Linked DNA regions of Coturnix japonica. The protein of the gene in region 2 interacts with the protein of the main gene of each other region in a biochemical or structural test. Links are inferred from orthologs where the notes say so. Each region holds a gene or a part of one and is shown on either strand. Other genes may lie near its edges. The genes, in order: CYSLTR2 and DLG3.

Evidence for each region.
Region 1: the proteins of DLG3 (region 2) and CYSLTR2 interact in a test that uses a peptide from one of them, tested with the Homo sapiens proteins (2 studies listed by IntAct, with this or other methods). The link is inferred for Coturnix japonica from reciprocal best matches to the Homo sapiens genes DLG3 and CYSLTR2.

What each region holds. Positions count from the first base shown.
Region 1 is NC_029516.1:151,143,362-151,152,527, reverse strand, and holds the start of CYSLTR2 (cysteinyl leukotriene receptor 2), read right to left. Parts: upstream 5,896-9,166; 5' UTR 5,568-5,895; intron 5,453-5,567; 5' UTR 5,378-5,452; intron 463-5,377; 5' UTR 436-462; coding exon 1-435. UniProt on the Homo sapiens protein: Receptor for cysteinyl leukotrienes. The response is mediated via a G-protein that activates a phosphatidylinositol-calcium second messenger system.
Region 2 is NC_029519.1:2,430,525-2,439,151, forward strand, and holds part of DLG3 (disks large homolog 3), read right to left. Parts: intron 5,078-8,627; coding exon 4,901-5,077; intron 4,723-4,900; coding exon 4,647-4,722; intron 4,052-4,646; coding exon 3,952-4,051; intron 1,620-3,951; coding exon of another isoform or gene 1,574-1,619; intron 797-1,573; coding exon 755-796; intron 379-754; coding exon 328-378; intron 1-327. UniProt on the Homo sapiens protein: Required for learning most likely through its role in synaptic plasticity following NMDA receptor signaling.

The DNA.
Region 1 (9,166 bases), on a different chromosome or scaffold from region 2:
TATCTTGGCATACTTCATGTTACTTACTTTCCAGCTCTTGAATGGGTAGACGATGGCCATGAAACGAACCACACTGAGCACGGTGAGAAAATAAATGCTGCAGTACATGTTCACATACATGGTGTACGTCATGATCCTGCAGAGGATATCACCAAACACCCACTGTGATCCTAACAGATAATAGGTGGCCCGGAAGGGCAAAGTGCTCACAAACATGAGATCCGAAACTGCCAAGTTCTGCATGTAGATGTTTACTGAGGTCTTCCTCTGGGAAGGCTGGAGGAAAACATATATGGAGAGGCTATTTCCAACACTGCCCAGGAAGAAGATTAAGAGGTACGCAATGGGATAAATGACTTGCTTGAAGGCATCCGTGCTACAGGTGAATGAGCTGTTAGTGGAGCTGTCATTTAGCGTCATCTCAGAAAAATTCATTGTCTGGAGTGGGAGCTCTCTGCCTTTCTGCAAAAGTATAAAGAAGTAAAGTGAGTGCAGAGCTGCAGCCTCTTCAGGGAGATCAGTGCTAGGACTGTTTCACATGGCAGAAATGAGAAGACACGTTGGAAATTAAAGCTTCCTGAATGACTAATCACTGTGATGTCTCTGTAAATGAACACACCAGCTCTAAATGGTTTCAGTATTACAGCAGCTGGTTTGTTGTTTTTTTTTTTGTTATTTGTTTTTTGTTTGTTTTTTGTTTTTGTCTCAAATTATGAGAGAACTGTCTTTTAGAAGTGGATGTTATGCATTCATTTTAATGGCAATTCCCCGGCCTTCTCAAAGCAAAATAAGCCAACTTGACATTGGCCATTTTGCAGCAGGAGGTTATGAGTTCCTGGATACCACCCATGGAACCTTCAAAAACTGATCAGTAAAAGAAGTCATCATCCACCAGTAAGTCTGAGCTTCAAATTAGGATGGAAAGTCAAAGTAACTGTATTTGCCAATATGAACCAGCCTAATCTTCCTAGAACGATATCTGCTGTTGACAGCACGTCACTCAATATGCCTGAGTGATAGCAAGAACACACTGATGTACTTCAATGTGTATAAATTAATGATGTTTTGATCTGAAACACTATAAATACTGTTCTCATTCAAGGTTCTTTTTTAACTCCCTCCCCCTCATACTGTATTTCTTCTTTCCTCTAGTTAGTTTCCTAGGTCTCTATTTGTGGGGTCTTTTCTTCATTCACTACTTTTCCAGCCTTTTGTGTGCTCATTTCTTTCATCAGACATTCATCTATATGGCAGCCTGAATTAGCAGCCCTAATAAAAATGGCCTGTGGAAAACAGGCTATTTCCATAGAAAGTGATATTTTCACTCCCACAAGGCTATATTTCAATCAAATCAAAACAACCGGTCAATAAAACACTCTAAATAGTATACACATTTTTTTTTTCTTTTTAATGTACTTGCTAAACTCCTGATTTTTTTCTCTCTGATGATCTGTAAGTAGTAGTATTTTAAAATCATAGAATTATAGAATACCCTGAAATTGAAGGGATCTGTAAATGTAATCAAGTCCAACTCCTAAAGGGAGGTCTCTGGTTCTGCTACTTGTTTAACAATGGGACAGAAATGCCCTCTCTGCAACTGCCAGCACATCCCAGAAACGCACTGAAAAAATTTAGCCTAAAAAGCAGAACAATATGAAATTTCCAAGTGCATGAAAAAAGTTTTAATACATCCCAGTGAGAAAGATAAGGGCCTAGTGGTATATGCTTGCAGGTTATGTCTTTTTTTTTGGACCTCACAGGCTTCATAATTTTGAATAAAGTTATTTGTGTTCTTGGAATTTCACTACGGGGAAAGCTTGGGCACCTTGGACTACCACTTACACACTATAGCACTGGCAACACTGCTGTAAATGGAAATTAATTTGTGCACTCAGATACTTTTCTGTGGTACAAGAGCTGCTCTATGTTGAGGGCAGCCAGTGACCTCTTCAGGGCTCTGTGTCGGAGTACAGATCCCTTAATACAGCAACCAGATGTGCCCCAGAAGTTATTTTTTGTGGCCAAACAGAGCATGGGAAATGGAGCCTGCCCAGGCTGGGCTCCTAAGAAGCAGAGCTTATCCCCTGTAGCAGGATGGGAATGCGGCAGTTTGGGCTTGGGGAACAGGGGCTTTCACTAACAACAATAATGTGACCATCCCTGCAGGGCTTGAAACCATCCCTCCAAGAAACAAGGACAATAATGTCTATAAAGTGTAGGAGTGCTGAAGACTGGAACTTGGCAAACTGAACACTCGTTCCCCCCTAAAGAAAATCTCCTCCTTATTTGAAAGTCTCTTCGCCAGTGTAGAGGATAGGCAACGTAAGCTTCCCAACAAAACAATTGCAGTCCAAGGAGATCTCATAGAATCATAGAATCACAAATGGCTTGGCTTGGAAGGGACCTAATAAATCACCTAATTGCAAGCCCCTTGCCATGGGCAGGGTTGCCACCCACCAGGTCAGGCTCTTCTCAAGGCTCAATCCAACCTAGTTTTAGTACCCAGTACAAAGTTACTGTCTGACATCAAAGTTTTCTGTGTGGGATCAGGAAACATCTCTTCTTCTAATGGAAGTTGGCCCCCCTGTTTTACAGGGAGTCATCACAGATTGATGTACTTCAAAGAGAAGAGACTTTTGATGGTGCGTTGCTATTAGGGCAAGAGAGAGAGCACATCTGCAGAGCAAAGGAAAGGGTGGCTTTCCTGAAATAACTGCTGTGTAAAGTATATCAGTGGGAGCCTCTGTGCCATGCTGCTGGCTTGATAGTAGTGATAGTGTAGGATATACAGGTGAAGGAGTGGCACTGTGCAGGAAGGACTGTGTAACTAGCAATTGCATACAAATATTATGACTGAAAGTCCTTGTGGACAGTCATTCCATCTTCTCATAATGAAAAAATTTAGTACTAAGGTTATGCTACCAAACTCCTCACCATGATAATGATAGTCATAGGAAAATGTTAGAAAAGCTGAAAGCAGGTAGTAATGGTAGGGAATTTCAAGTTCAGAACAAGATATGCAACAAATGCCTAATTCCTAGGACAAATGGTTCTACAGTCTGCAAGACATGATGCTTTTTGATCTTTAGTGCTGCACAGGCCCCAGTTCTGGCAGGAGGGAGGGAGGGAGCACTGTACCAGCAATCATGATAGGACTCACAGTGTCAGTGTTGTGGGAGAGAGGAGCAGTCCCAGGACCAAGAAATCGACATCATTTTAGAGGGAATAGGAAAACAGTAAAAACAACAAACAAACAATCAAAAGAAACCACACAAAACCAAAACCACACAACAGCAACAACCAAATCACAGAGGATTCAACAAAACTTCTGTAAGGTTGGAGGAGCTGGATGCACTGGACATACATGTGTAGGAAATATCAAACTGAATAGACAGATGAGAGGCCAATAAGTAATCAGGACCAGATGACATTTGTATGAGTACCCCAAAGGCTCTCAGACTTGGACTGCTGTCCAAGGCACATAACCCACCATTATAATCATGTGCCATTCCAGGGGACCACTGCATCACTAGGGCAGCTCTTCATCTACAAGAACAGCGTGGGAGAGAAGCCTGGGGGCTGTGAGTCAGCAGTCCTGATGCCTGGGAGCCTACTGACCCCCAAGACCGATTTCCATATATATGAGAGCTGCTCCAAAAGTAATGCCTCCTGTTTTACTGTTTTGGCCCATGACATTAGAGTCAGAAGGCAATGGTATGGCAGTAGATGTGGAACCTACCCAACAACATCCTGTTACATTTTGTTGGCAGATGGCATCAGAGGGACAATCTGACAAAATGGTGTCTGACAAGGACGTGTGTTTGAAGCAAAGGAGTGTCACAGAGCTCTTCCATGAGGAAAAAATTACACCCACTGACATTCATTGATGCCATGCTGGAAAGCTGGCAGATGAGCATTTTAGTAGAAGGTGATAAATGCTGGAGCAAATAACCTAAACCATGCTTACATGATACAGAACTTGAAACTGTTACTGTGAGGAAAGGGCATTTGGCATCAGTGATAGACCCATCATCGACTGTTTGCCAAAGTCATTTCTGCATAAGCTGCAGCGGAAGCAACAAGAATTTCAAGAAAATGAGTCACATCACCAAGAAGTCTGGGTCAGCTGGTATAAAATCACCTTGTATAAAACCTTCCTGCATTCCCCCAGTGAATGTGCCATGCAGTTCTGCTCTCTGCACCCCCCAAAAAAAGACATTATAGAGTTAGGGAAGAGGCAGAGAGGGGTGAGTGAAATCAGCAAGGTGACGGAGCAAGGACTCAAAAGTATGGGTAAATTCAGCATAGACAGGATAGACATGCAGTCAAGCTTTACAGGTTCCTGAAGGAGGTGGATAGTGTGAATGTACCACTACTGATGTGTTCCCACATGGGGTGCTCATCAGGGCTGTTGGGAGTCTATGGTCAGGCAGATAGAAGAGGGCTGTTTTCTGTGTCATCTCCTCTCACTGGGGGAGGTGAGCTGGAAGAGGCTGCTGCTAAAAGTGTAAAAGGGAAACTCTCCATTTCCAGACTGAGAAGTTTCTCACATCCGCTACTTTGAAACCCTGAGATCTCTATAACACAGAGAACATATTTTCGGTGAGGTGTTCTGCACATGCAGTGATAAATAAAGGTATCAGAATGTTCATTCAAAATACATGTCTTTTTTGCCCTAAGAGATTAAATATATTGATCCGTTTGTATGTCAGGAAAAGGAGGTGCTCCGTGCATCTATCACAACAGTCCTCTGTCAGAAGAAGGCTTCTGCCACAACAATCCCATACTCATAATATTAAGGCAGTCATGGCATTGCTGCTATGTTTGGGATTGCTTGCATCTGCCTCTGTATCTCGAGAAAACCAAAAGTTTTGACATGTCTCAAAGTTCCCATTAGCTTTCCTTCTGCTGTCTTCGTGTTGTGTTTTAAGGAGTAGCGTTACCAAGAATAAATGTAGCAGAATGCAGTATTTGGAATTAACAGTGAATTACATCCACCAAAACATGCAGTGCTTTATTAACCTCGCTGCATGCACAATATTACAGATAAATAAATTCAGACTCTAACTCCTAGCCTCTTTAATTTTAAGTTTGCCATTGACCACATATTTTTGTCATCTCGTTAAAAGCCAGCACTCACTTAATCAGACCCACTACTTGACTGTCATCTTCCATCTGGAAGCACTGCAAGTTACATAAATCCACCCTTTCTGCCAAAGAAAATTCTCAAGCCCAACTTTGTCATAGAGAAATTTAGTTAACGATCACAGCTTCTATCATATGCAAAGCTTACCGCAAGCAATATATAAGCAGATTGTATTTTCTTCACTGCAGCTATTCTATCTATGTCAGAAAAAGCAGGCAAGCCTTGTCTTACCTCAGCTGGTGTGCCTTCTGGTGTGCTCGGTCTCCTTCTTCTGCCCACTGTTGCTTACCACTTTCAGTTTTGTTGCTGGAAATCAGAAGCACAAAAACTTGAAGCAAAACCCGAATGCTGTTTACGCAGAAGCCACACAAGAGCAAACAGTAGTAAGAAAAGGAAGTAGGTCCTGATTAGTAGATCTTACGTTTTCTTAAGAGAGAAATGTTCTCAGCTCAAGGAGGGCTGCTAGCAATCGCACGGCAGTGTCGCATGCGCTTTGGCCCAACAAAAAGGGCCCTGCAGCTAATGTAGCATCTGGAAACTGTCTGGATTCCTGTGTTTGGGCCGCACTTAAATATCTGCACTCTCAGTAACTGGCATTGCTTGATTTCTTAGGATAGGTTCCCGTATGTCATTCACATGGATCACTGTAATTGGAGTCTGTGGAATTACGAAGCATTATTTCCCAGGCTTCTCGTGCAGAAATGAGTGAAACCATAAGCATGCTTCTAGGGGTTAATGAGTAACCATATTCAGCACAAGCAATTCAAGGATGAGTTTGTGGAGCCAAGGGACTGCTTTTTTTTTTTTTGACCGCTGATAGGGAGTAAATACGTTGCTATTTTAGGCCATAACAAGAAGCTGCAGTGAACGCCTTACTGCAACAGTGATCACAGGATCATAGAATCATAGAATTGCTCAGGTTGGAAGAGACCTTAAGATCATCAAGTCCAAACACAACCTGACCATACTACCCTAACTCTAACAACCCTCCACTAAATCATGTCCCTGAGCACCACATCCAAACACAGATGGCACAGATGAGTGCTCCTAGTTTACTGCAGTTGTGAAATAGGGTTCTATACACACGGCAGATGTAACTGTTTATTCTTCTGTTCTGTCAACACACACGGGAGGACCAGATGTATCTCTAGGTGCTGTGTTTCATTTCATAAACATCAGGAAATACCTCTGTGCTGTGCAGTGACAGAGCACTGGCACAGGCTGCCCAGTGATGTGGGATCTCCTCCTTGGGGATCTTCCAGATCTGCGTGAATGCAGCCCTAGGCACCCTGCTCTGGGTGTCCCTGCTGGGGCAGGGGCTGGAGCAGAGGGACCCAGAGGGCCCTGCCAGCCTCAGCTGTGCTGTGATAGCTGGCAGTAGGTCAGGAATCCTGCTATGTACTACAGTTCAGTAGCTGGAGAGTCTCCCAGCAAACCTCACCACCTACACTTACAGTCGTTTACATCCCAAATTGCTTTGGACAATCCTGTTTGTAATCTCCCCTCTGTTGGCCACCTGCACTTCACTGTCATTTATTGCTAGTGCTCTTCACTTTAGCTGTATACATGGACTACCAAAGAGGTGTAATAGCCCTATTGCTCCCCATGTGGGGCTGGAGTTGCAGCAGGCAGTGGCTGTGTAGGTGAGTGTCACCAGAGCTCACAGATCCCTGCACCAGGGAGGAGGTACATACAGCTTGTAAGCAGTGCTATAAGCTTTTTAAAGCATAGACCTGAAGGAGGACATGGAAAACCAGCTTATAAAGGAACTAGACTAGTAACTTCAGACCTTGCCTGCTCTCGTTGCACTGAGGGCCTTGCATAGTTGTCCTCTTCCAGTTGCTTTGCTTACTGTCCCAGTCCAAAGTCTGCCAGCAAAGTTGCTCAAATGTGTGCTCTCAAACCCTATTTAGCCTTGGAGATATTCACCCCAGACACCTGAAACAGGAGGTCTCAGCTCATTCCCTTTGGATTGAAGCAGAGTAGGAAATGATCCCACAAGTGGCTTGAAGGACAGCTTTCAGTGTCAGAGCCTTTTGGGAGGAAGCAGTGGTGCGCAACAAGGAGCAGCATGGGAACTACCACTTCAGACATCAAAGTCATGGCCAGAGGAGGGCTGTGGCTTCTGAGATGCTCCACCCGCTGAGATGGTATCTGATCATACAACCATAGAATTATATAACAACTTAGGGTTGGAAGGGATCTAAAAGTTCATCTAGTTGCAACCCCCCTGCTGTGGGCAGGGCTGCCACCCATTAGATCAGGCTGCTGAGGGCCCCATCCAATCTTATCTGCATCTTATCAGCAAGTAACAGAGACAGCACAGAGACAGTCAAATAGCATCTCTATCACATGGCCCGTGCTGATAAACACTGAGTCTGATAGGCAGGCTGTTCCCATATACTCAAGGTATCTTCACTGCCAGGATAATTTCTCACATTCACATCCTTATACACCCTGTTTTCTGGAGTGTACTGCTTCCTCTCTTTTGTAAAGGAATGCTGTGTTTTGCTTTTAGCCTGGGTTTGGATAGATGGAATTGGCTACCAACTCTCGCTGCACCAGAAAAACTGGATTTTGGGTGACTGCTTGAGATGTTTTGTATAGTCATTGGATGACTCAGCTTCTGAGGGGAATTTATTATATTTCCTTACTAATAAAAACTTCAGCAATTCTGGAGAAGTCATGGCAGAATGTCACAAGGAATCAAAGTCTCATTACAAGATGACATATGCACATCATACTCAACAGCTCACAACTCCAGTTATTTCTGCATCTTGACGCCTGGTAAACTCACAGAGGATCCAGGGCACAACAGAATGCAAGCCATCCATCTGGTCTGCATTTACATGCATTCTTGTCTCTGTTTCTCTTCCCTTTTGCATTTCTGGTTCCCAACAACAGCCCAGTTTCACGAGAGACTGACTCATTCTTTTTAATTCTCCTTCCCCATAGACCTACTTTCTCTCCAGCCCTGTGCAGGAGCATTGCCCATGAATGATGGGTTTGCTCTATTCAGCCCACAGTGGCAAGAAAAACAACCATTGCAGGCCCCCTACAGTCACGTAGATTTTATGATGGTCCGCTACCTGGTCCATTTCTCTGTCCCTGAAGTCTCTGGACAGGTTCTGTCTGCTCTGCACTGCAGCAAAAGGGGCTGCCTTACATATACCTGGGCAAGGCTGGGTCTCTGACACAACGCATAGCTTGACAGACCCATGCAAATTCATCAGCCAGTGCCTATGGAACAAAGAGACATTTGTAAATCAGCACCACGGCCGTGGGAATGGTACATGGGAGATGGGGCAACCTGCTGCATCAGGGCAGCTATCAAATGATGAAGGCAAGTCAAATGAAGAAGTCTGCATATTTTTCCTGTTGCTTGGTCAATATTTTGCTATCTACAGACACAAACAGAGTTTCACTTCTGTAAATCAAGGGACTTTTCTGTTAAAATGGATCCTTCAAGAAAATACCACCATTGAAGATTTTAGTGCTGCGCTTCTTCAGCACAGCAGCTTAGCCTACTAACACATATCTATTTCCAGAGACTAAAATTGCAAAGCCTATGTTCATTTTCTGTTCAATCCAGGAATAAAATGTCATTGAATGATAGCAGCTCATCTGCTGTCAGCCATAAGGCTGGATAGATGGGCAGATGAATGTGACAGCTGCATGAAGAAAGGTGAAGGACTATTGGCAGTTTTAACAGGAAATATTCAGAATGGAAAAACACAGCAGGTTTTCAAGCTGTTTCTTTTTGCAACATTAGTCATGACATTTTTTTTTTTATCACCTGTAGTCTTTTCTTAACTGTTTTGTGTTCCTCTTTATTATATTGATGATGAATGTTAATATTTAAATGGAATGACAAGAGACATCTAATGTTGTTTTTATATAGAATAGACATCCTAAGTTCCCTACTCAGAAAGCTCTGCTATGGACTGTGTTTATCTTGTAGTTAACGCTGTGCTATTCTGCTGAAATCTTTCTTCACATAAATATAGAAACCAGAAGCAT
Region 2 (8,627 bases):
TCAGATCAGAACCCCTGGATATCCCACATTGGAAGGGACTCACAGGGATCACCAATCCAGCTCCTGCCTCCACACTCCAAACCCAAACCTTGTGACTGAAAGCATTACCTGAACACCCCCTGAACTCCAGCACTCAGGGCTGTTACACCGTCCTGGGCAGCCTGTTCCAGTCCTACTGCCTTCTGGTGCAAAACCTTTTCCAAACCCATCCTCAGCAGGGGCCAAACCCAGCTCTGCTGAGCTGAAGATCACCCCAGCTAGTCATGCACAGCACAGCTGTGACTGGGGGAGGGGGTTTGATGCCCACAACCCAGCACAAGGACTTACTTTCTTGCCGTATCACTGGCTCGTATGACAGGATAGTGTCCTCTTGTCCTTCTGAAACAGAGCCAAGGAGAGACGGGTGAGCGTTGGCAGCAGCCTCCCAGCCCCAGCCACCCCTTGCACTGAGGACAGGCTCTCACACCCAGCCATATCAGCCTCCTCCTCCTCTACTGCAGGCCTGGATATGAGTGGGCACAGCTGTGGGTGCACTGCAGGCATGTAGAGGAGCACTGGGGGTAACGGGAGCACTGGCTGCGGCCAGACCCAAGTTGTCTTGCACCCCATAACCCATGATGGCAGCTGGCCCAGCATCTCAGTACCACCAGCAGGAAGGAACAGCCTCCGAATAGAAACAACACTGGGACAGGACATGATGGGAGTGCACACACACACACACAGAGGTGAGACAGCAGGAGAGACGCACACTTACTGGAACTGCTCTCGCTGTCACTGGTGTTTGATGTCACGCCCTCTGCAAAGCAACCAGAGAGACCATCTTCAGAGCCAGCGCTTGCCAAGGGCACGCAAGCTGGCACCCAGTGCTGGCAACTGAGAGCAGGGCAGCCAGGTGGCACCACCAGAAAGGCACCCTGGCACCCATGGGGAGGGCTGGGAGTGGGGTGCTGGGGCAGAACTCTTGCCCTTTGTCACGCTCAGGGGGAATAGGGTATGTGTGGGGGAACCTCTTCTGCTTGGCTATGCTGAGATGGGGGAGGTGCTGGGAGCGGGGCTGCGGGCAGGGCTGGCAGGGTGCAGCATGCACACGGAGGGCAGGGGTGGGGAGCTGCCTGCAGGGACGGGCTGGGACTCACAGAGACGAGACAGTGACAGGATGGGACAGAGTTCGGGGCTTTGCTTTGCTTTGGCTGATCCCAGTGCTGTGACCTCCCCACAGAGGCTGGCCGCTGCCTGCCTTACTCAGAACAGCTCTGCAGGGTTTGGGGTGTGCAGCCAAGCAGCTCTGGGCACGTGGGCAATCATACACCATCAAAGGAAGGTGGCACGACACCTTCACCTGCTCCCGAGGGTGCCGTGGGCAGGCCCTTGTGTGCGCTTAGGGTACAGCCAAATCCCCCAAGCAAACTGCCCATCCCCTCCCCAGTGTAGCACCTTCAGAGCCCTCTGCTGGGAGAGGCAATCAAACCCATGGGGTTCCTCATGCCCCACACCCAGAGAAGCACAGCCACCAGGCACCCCCAACGTGTGTTGGCGATGGAAAGTGAACGATGCGTGTTGCAATTCCACTTACTCAGGTTCTTTGCTCCATAATAATCGTCACTTAACCCAGGGAAGTCCTGATTTCACAGACAGCGAGAAGGGGGAGAAGGGAGAGAAAAGAGCGCAGGAGAGGGGAGGTCAGAGAGGAGGGGAGAAGAAGACAGAGCCAGATGAGCATTAGTGACAGGAGTGCAGAACTGCCCAGAGCTGTAACTGCAAGTGATGTTAAGAAACGTTTCCCGGCGGTGACACCGATATCTCACCAAGAGCTGCTGACGCCCAGCAGACCCTCACAGCACTCTGGCTGCGCCTGGAGGCCACTGTGGGTCCCCCTGAAGCTCTGCCACAGCCCCAAAGCGTTTCTCCATACAGCCTCAATTGGTCTTTCGCAGTGTGCAACTCTGCTCTCCCCTAAGCCCCTCTGGAGGGGAAACGAGCACTGCCACACCTCTAACAGCATGGCTGGGGGATGCTTCTCCCCACCTGTGTGCATGAGCTGCCCACATCCCCCTGCTGCAAGCAGGGCACCAGGATGGGCAGTGCAGCAGAGCATGGCAAGGGAGCTGCCTGCAGGCTGCTCTGATGCTGCTGGCAAAGAGCACAGCCTGCCCTGTGCCTGTGCCATATGTCCCATACTGCAGGGCAGGCCAAGAGCAGTGCCTCAGTGACCTTCAGCTGCAGGCACTGAGCTGATCTGTGCTCCATTAGCACCCTCATGCCATCCCATTCCCTGCTGCTACACCACCTCCAACACAGGTCACATCCTCACTGCTTCCCACAGCTACCAGCTATGGCCATGCCCTGCACACAGAGCAGGGCGCCCACACCCTACAACAAAACAAGGGTAGCCAGGACAGGAAAAGCTTCCAATGGCCAAGTCCTGTTCCATCAGAGGCTTTCCAGCATGCCCAGCCACATGCCCTGCAGGAACCTGGACACACAGACTTCACACACCATCACAGCCATCATGCTGACTGCTGTCACTGAGACCTCCATGCAGCCTGGCTGAATGAAGTGGGCACTGCCCCATGGCAGCCTGGTTCCAGCTGCCCCCTGCCAAACCCAGGAGGGTGCTGGAGGGGAGCACTCAATGTGTTGGCATCTGGGCAGGGACACAGCTCCGCCTTGCCCACTTGCTCTCCTCTTTCCAAAAACACAACACCTGCAGCCTTCTCTGTGAACACTCAGTGGAGGAGTGGATGCAATTTAGCACCTGGAAAGAGGAGAGGCTGAGCACAGCTGCTCACCTAACCCAGCAAGGGCAGGCTGTTCCATCCTTGCACAGGGAAAACACTTTCAAGAAGTGAGTTTGCTCCAGAGGAGTTGTGCAGCTGACCCTCAGTTTTCCCTACTGCAGGCACCAGCATTCCTGATGTCAGGATTTGAAGCGAGGAGCTGAACACTCAGCACAGCTCTCAAACCTGGAGGTGTCTCAAGGTTACACCCCTACCCCTTTCTCTCATCCTTTTCTACACACAGGATGTGTCTGTGCACAGCCCTGCCTGCCAAGGAGAGGGGAGCTGCAGCACAACCAGCCCTCACTGGGAGCCCTGGGTGAGAGCTGGGTATTCCCCACAATCTGCAGCCAAGAAGCCAGGATGTGTCTCAGCTGCTGAGTGTGGGCAGTGCTTCTGCCAGCGAGAGCACACCTCCCTCACAGCCACAGGGTTTCACTTACAGGAAAGGCTTGGAGACTGTCAGGAATAGGTAGCAGAGAGTCACTTCTATGGGAGACAGTGAGCACAGCCAAGATGTCCCCCTCAGCCTGAGGACAAGGGCCAAGCTCCTGCACTGCTCAGCCACCTCTTGCTCTGGGAGGGGGAGCAGCCCTTGGCAGGCACAGGGAGGGAGCAGAGCTCACAGCACATGGGAGAGAGCAGGAAGAGGCAGAGCAGGAGTGTAGGCAAGTATAAAGTTATGAAAGGATGAAGACACCAAACACGAGAAAGAGAGCCAGCCCGTGCAGAGACACAGCCAGAGGCAGCTGGGCTTGCAGCAGCTGAGTGAGCCTGCCTGTGCAGGGCGTTCATGCCTGGGACTTCAGCAGGTGCACAGGGACAAGAAATGCAGCCGGGAGGTCCCTCACTCGGTTGGCATCCACCCCGAGTGCTACAGGAGCTACCGCTCTGATTTCAGGCTCAGGCTGCTCCCTAGCTGCAGGTAGGGCTGATGGGCACAGAACCTGAACGAGCCCTGGGCCACATCCATGCCTGACGGTGGCTGGGAAGGCTCCAGTGCAGTAGGGCACGTGCATGGCCTCAGCCTGCCTGGCAGCAGCAGCACAGTTTGGCCAACACAGGCAGGCACTGTGCTTGCTGGCTATGGGAACGTGGCACATCTCCCCTCCTCAAGGCAGGAGGTGGGGGTTGGGGGGTTGCACGTTGCCCTCTCTGGCCAGCTGCTACTTACGTTCCTGTCCGCCGCTCTCCTGGGCCAGGTTCTCTTTGCTCTTGTAAAATGGAAACTTTCGAGAGAGGCGGAAACTCTTTTTACGTTTCGTTTTGATCGACTGTGAAGAAGATGGAGATGGAGGGGAGGACAGAAAAAACAATGGCGTTTAACGCATGCAAGGAAAATTAAAATGGAGAGACGATGAGGAGCTGTGGAAGGGCGGTTACCCTGGAATGAAATCATGGGGATTACATGAAAACTGTAATGCAGGAAAAAAATAATTGAATGCGGAGAAAAATGTGTTTTTAGGGATGTTGGGAAGCTGATGAGCCTCTGCAGGAGGAGCACGGCTGTTCTCACTGCCTCATCCATTCACTCCATGCAAGGGAAGCTCTGCCAGCATCAGGCACCTGCACTCAGCTCCCAGCCACCAGTGTGCTCTGCCGGGGCTGTGCTGGGACATGCTCTGCTCCCTTGCCACCATAAAGACACCCCGCTACCAAACCACTGTCTGTCATCAGCACCTTCACAGCTGCCTCAGCCCCTCTGCTCCCACCCTGCACACAGCTGAGGGGAGCTGTGCCTCAGACAGTCCGTTGCACTGCTCCTTGCTCTGGGACAGCTCTGGCTGCTCTCAATGGGAGCACTGAGCTGCCCAGACTCACCCTGCCCCACTACAGCACACTGGCTCATTATGCCTGCTTAGCACTCACCCGGTTGGACTCTATCATGCCAGTCCTGGCGTGGAACTTCACCGTTTTCAATCGTGCTCTCTCTTTCTTCTCCACCCTGATTGGAAGTTAAAAGGGAGAGAGATACTGCTAGTCCCTGGGATGCCCATAATGCTGCACGTATTCCTCATGCTGATACCACCAGATCTGCCACACGGTGCAGATCCAGAAGCTGGGTCCCGAGGCTCACAGGACCAAAGCACCATGCAAGTCAGCTCCTGCTGATGGGCACTCACCTCTTCTTGCTGGGGATGACTCCGATCTGCTCGCTCTCACCGTGAGGTGTCACAAGCCTGGCTTGCCACCACTCATCATCGGAGGCATTGATGACATGCAGAATGTCCCCATAGGAGAAGCTGAGCCCCTGGCTGGGTAAGCAGCTGTCCCGGGTCCGGTCATAGTCAAACAGAGCTCTGCAAAGGAGCACAGAGAGGAGTGAAGCCCTCCCCTGCCAAGGAAGCAGCAGCACTGCAGACCTCATTAGGCTGTGGATGAAGTGCTCACCATGAACCCCCCACAGAAACGACAGCCAACAAACTAGCTCTTGACATGAACTGCAAGAAGCACACAAACCACACAGATGCTCAAGAAGGCTGTGGTCAGAAAGCAGCCAAACAAGAATATATAACAGGTTCAGCAGCCTCAAAAAAATATAACAGGTTGTAAATGGTACCCCGCTGCCAATCAGGAAAGCAGCACAAGAGGGAAAACCCGGCTGATCTGTTCAGAGGGCGAGACCCAGCACCCTTCATGAGCAAAGCTGCAGGCCAACAGAATGCCCTGCAGCAGGGAATGGAGAGCTTGCCCTGTGCCATGAGCAACAAGGGTGTGAGATGGCCAGGAGCTGACTGTGCCCTGCTGCTGGAGGAAGTCATGCCCATGGGCTGCAGGGCACACACAGCCTTCACTCTTATTTACGTGTAGAGGTATTTGATTCCAGAGCTCTGTGAGTTATGAGTGCAACTCAATGCTTACCTGATTCTACAACTATTCCAGATTTTTAAATGCTTCCCCTAAGAACAGTTTATTTAGTTATAGTACAAGAGCTTCATCTCCAATATTAAATTACCCAGCTGCAGAAAAGATGATTATTTTTTAAACTAAGGAAGAGAAGCACTAATGCTCTTCCTGTGCAAGCGACTGGAGCCTTATCGCCCGCCTCCACTGCAGCCCTTTGCCACAAGCTGCTTTCAGGGGCCTCATCCTACCAATGTCAGATCTCAAACCAGACCTGTTTTCCATTCCACATCCTTCAGCAATGCATGGAAACAGCTGAGCCGCCATTCAGAGCACTGTTACTGGTGGCACAACTGGGAGCCCCATTTTCACTCCTACAAGGTCAGCCCCACTCTCCCCCCAGGCAGAGTGTGGGGGCACGGTGAGCACTTCTCAGCCAGCTGCCGGCCTCATCCAGGCAGAAAAGAAGGGGAAAGCCATAATAACACCACCCTCTGCCCTGCTCATCACCTCCTTCCACTATGAGGAACCCCGAGGGGGTCTGGAACAACACAGAACAAGTCACACTGATTGTCGAGCTGAATCCTTTTAACTGTGGCTCCATAAATAGTAAAAGCAACAGGCACACCACACACCAGCCACCTGCAGAGCAAGCTGCCTCGCTGACTATCAGAAACTGCTTCTCTGCTACATTTAATAAGAACCTTCTCCCCAGCCAGCACGGCAGCTGAGGGTCAGCATAGGTCTCCCTCCCTGCGGTGGCTCCAGGTAAGCTGGGGCTCCCCTCTCCTGGGAAGCAGAAGAGCAGCACCAAATCTTGCACTGTTGTGAAAGCTGCCGCTGTTTCCAGTTCCTTCCAGTTTTATCCTGCTTGTCCCGACTGGCTAAATTATAACCCCATGTGGAACTGTTGCAGGAACAGCTATAGAGTGGTCTGCTTTTGACTAAGCAGCCAATATCTACCTGCAGGTCCTCATTTCTGGCAGCGGTATCAGTGTGCAGGCTGCAAAGCACCAGCTCATCTTCCAGACCAGAGAGAACTGTCAGATCACAGGAACTGTGCCCTGTGAGCACCCGAGGACTCAGCATCACCACACGCCTTCTGCCTCCCAGGCACCAGCACCCACCTGCACCAGGACGGTGAGCTCAGGTGCCAGATCTCAGCCACAGGGCTGAAATGAAGGGCCTGGCTGGGCTCAGGCATAGAAGCAGCTCCTGCAGTAGCCCTGTCTTGGCTTCAACCGGGACATGGATGAGCGATGGAGCACTAAGCAGAGAGCTGGATGTGCTCTTCTTGGGTCACATCCTTCTTTAAGCACGGTGACACAAGCAGCTCCTGGACCAGAAGGACGGGGAGCCCTCTGGGCTGAGGCCTGATATGTTGATGCAGCCCCGAGGTTCACCCAGCCAACAGCTCACTCTGCTTTCTCCAGCTTACTCGGGGCCATTGCTGGGAGGCTCCTGTGCTCGGCCCCACAAGAACAGAAACACGCATGGCCCCGAGCACAGCACGTGGCAGCCGGCAGTGCAGCACCGCGGGGCCCTTCAGCTGGAGGCAAGCAGCCCTGCCAGGCACCTCTGCTCCCTGCCAAAAGATAAGGCCGTGTGCGTGGCTGGCACGCCCCAGCCAGACCAGCGCCATTAGGAATGAGGAGAGTGCAATTAACAGGAAGGAAAGAGCAGAGAACCGGCCGGGCAGGTTCCAGAGCCAGCAGCACCCTCAGCCCCACGGCCCGGCCTGTTGGCTCCCAGCTGCAGGGTGCCTGCTGGCCAGGCCTGGCCCCGCTCCCCTCAGTGCCTGCACGGGGAACTCAGTGCTGCTGGATGAGAAGCCGGCCTGCTGGAGCCAAACAGCAGCCCTGCGAGGCCCAGCCCTCCTCCACTCAGCCCCATCCCCTGCAGGAGCAGCAAGCTGGCTGCAGAGCAGCGGAGCAGTGCCAGGCCTGCTCCAGAGCCAGCACTGAGCCGTCCCAGCCCCTGCTGGACTTTGCCCTGCAGGAGTGCTGGGAGCCTGCCCTACCCAGGTGGGCTGTGAGCACTGTGAGCACTGGGCCCCACTGCCCCGTGCACCCCACGGCCTGGCGGTGCTGACTCGAGCAGTTTGCTAGCACGTCCCATAATTGATGTCCTGTCCACAAGGCAGCAGCTCAGCCGGTTTCAGGCAACTTGTGCTCGAAACCACCCCGCCCAGAAGGGCTGGGGCAGCTCTCACACACTCACGGGTGTCAGTGGGGCAGCAGATGGCAAATCCAGCAGAGCCTTGTGAAACTGTGAGCTGTGGGAACATAACACAGCTCTGCCCCGTGTCCGTCTGGGCACAGGAACCCTGAACCCCCAAACGCTCTTACACAGCACAGCCCTGCTGCAAGACATGCAGCCTCAGCTCCCACCTTCCTCCCTGCAGGGAAAGAGAAGCATCCCTTGCTTCTGCCAACCCCCACCTGCAACCCAAGGTGAGGAGTTGCAGGATGATTTTAATAAGCAAATTACAATCGCTCATTAGCTGCCACCACGTTGCTTCTCACTGCAAAAAGCAGACACTGCATCCAGCCAGGGGATGGCAGGGGCAGCAGCCAGCAGGGCGGGGGGCACGAAGCAGTCACGGAGCCAGCACCGTGCGGCTGCTTAACCCCTGCGTGCTCCGTGCCTGGCTCTGAACCAAAAGCACAACTCGGGATCAAAGCCATAATCCTCCTAAGAGCTCATCTCCCCTCCAGCCAGATCTCGCTGCATGAGTGGCAACAGAGAAGCCAGTTAGTGCAGAGCGGGTAGCGGAGAGCACTGCCTGCATCCTGCCTTGGGCCTCTCCATCCCCAGCAGCTCACCCTGGGACGCAGCTGCCTGGCTGCAGCACAGCCCAGCTCTCTGCACAGTCGCCTGTTTAAAAGGTATTTAAGTGCAGAGCATTCAGCCCTGAAGAAGGAGTGCAAAACCCACTGCTGTGCTCTCCAAGCTCCGTGCCTTATTTATAAAGCTCGCTGTCCTCCCCTTGCAGAAGCAGGGCAG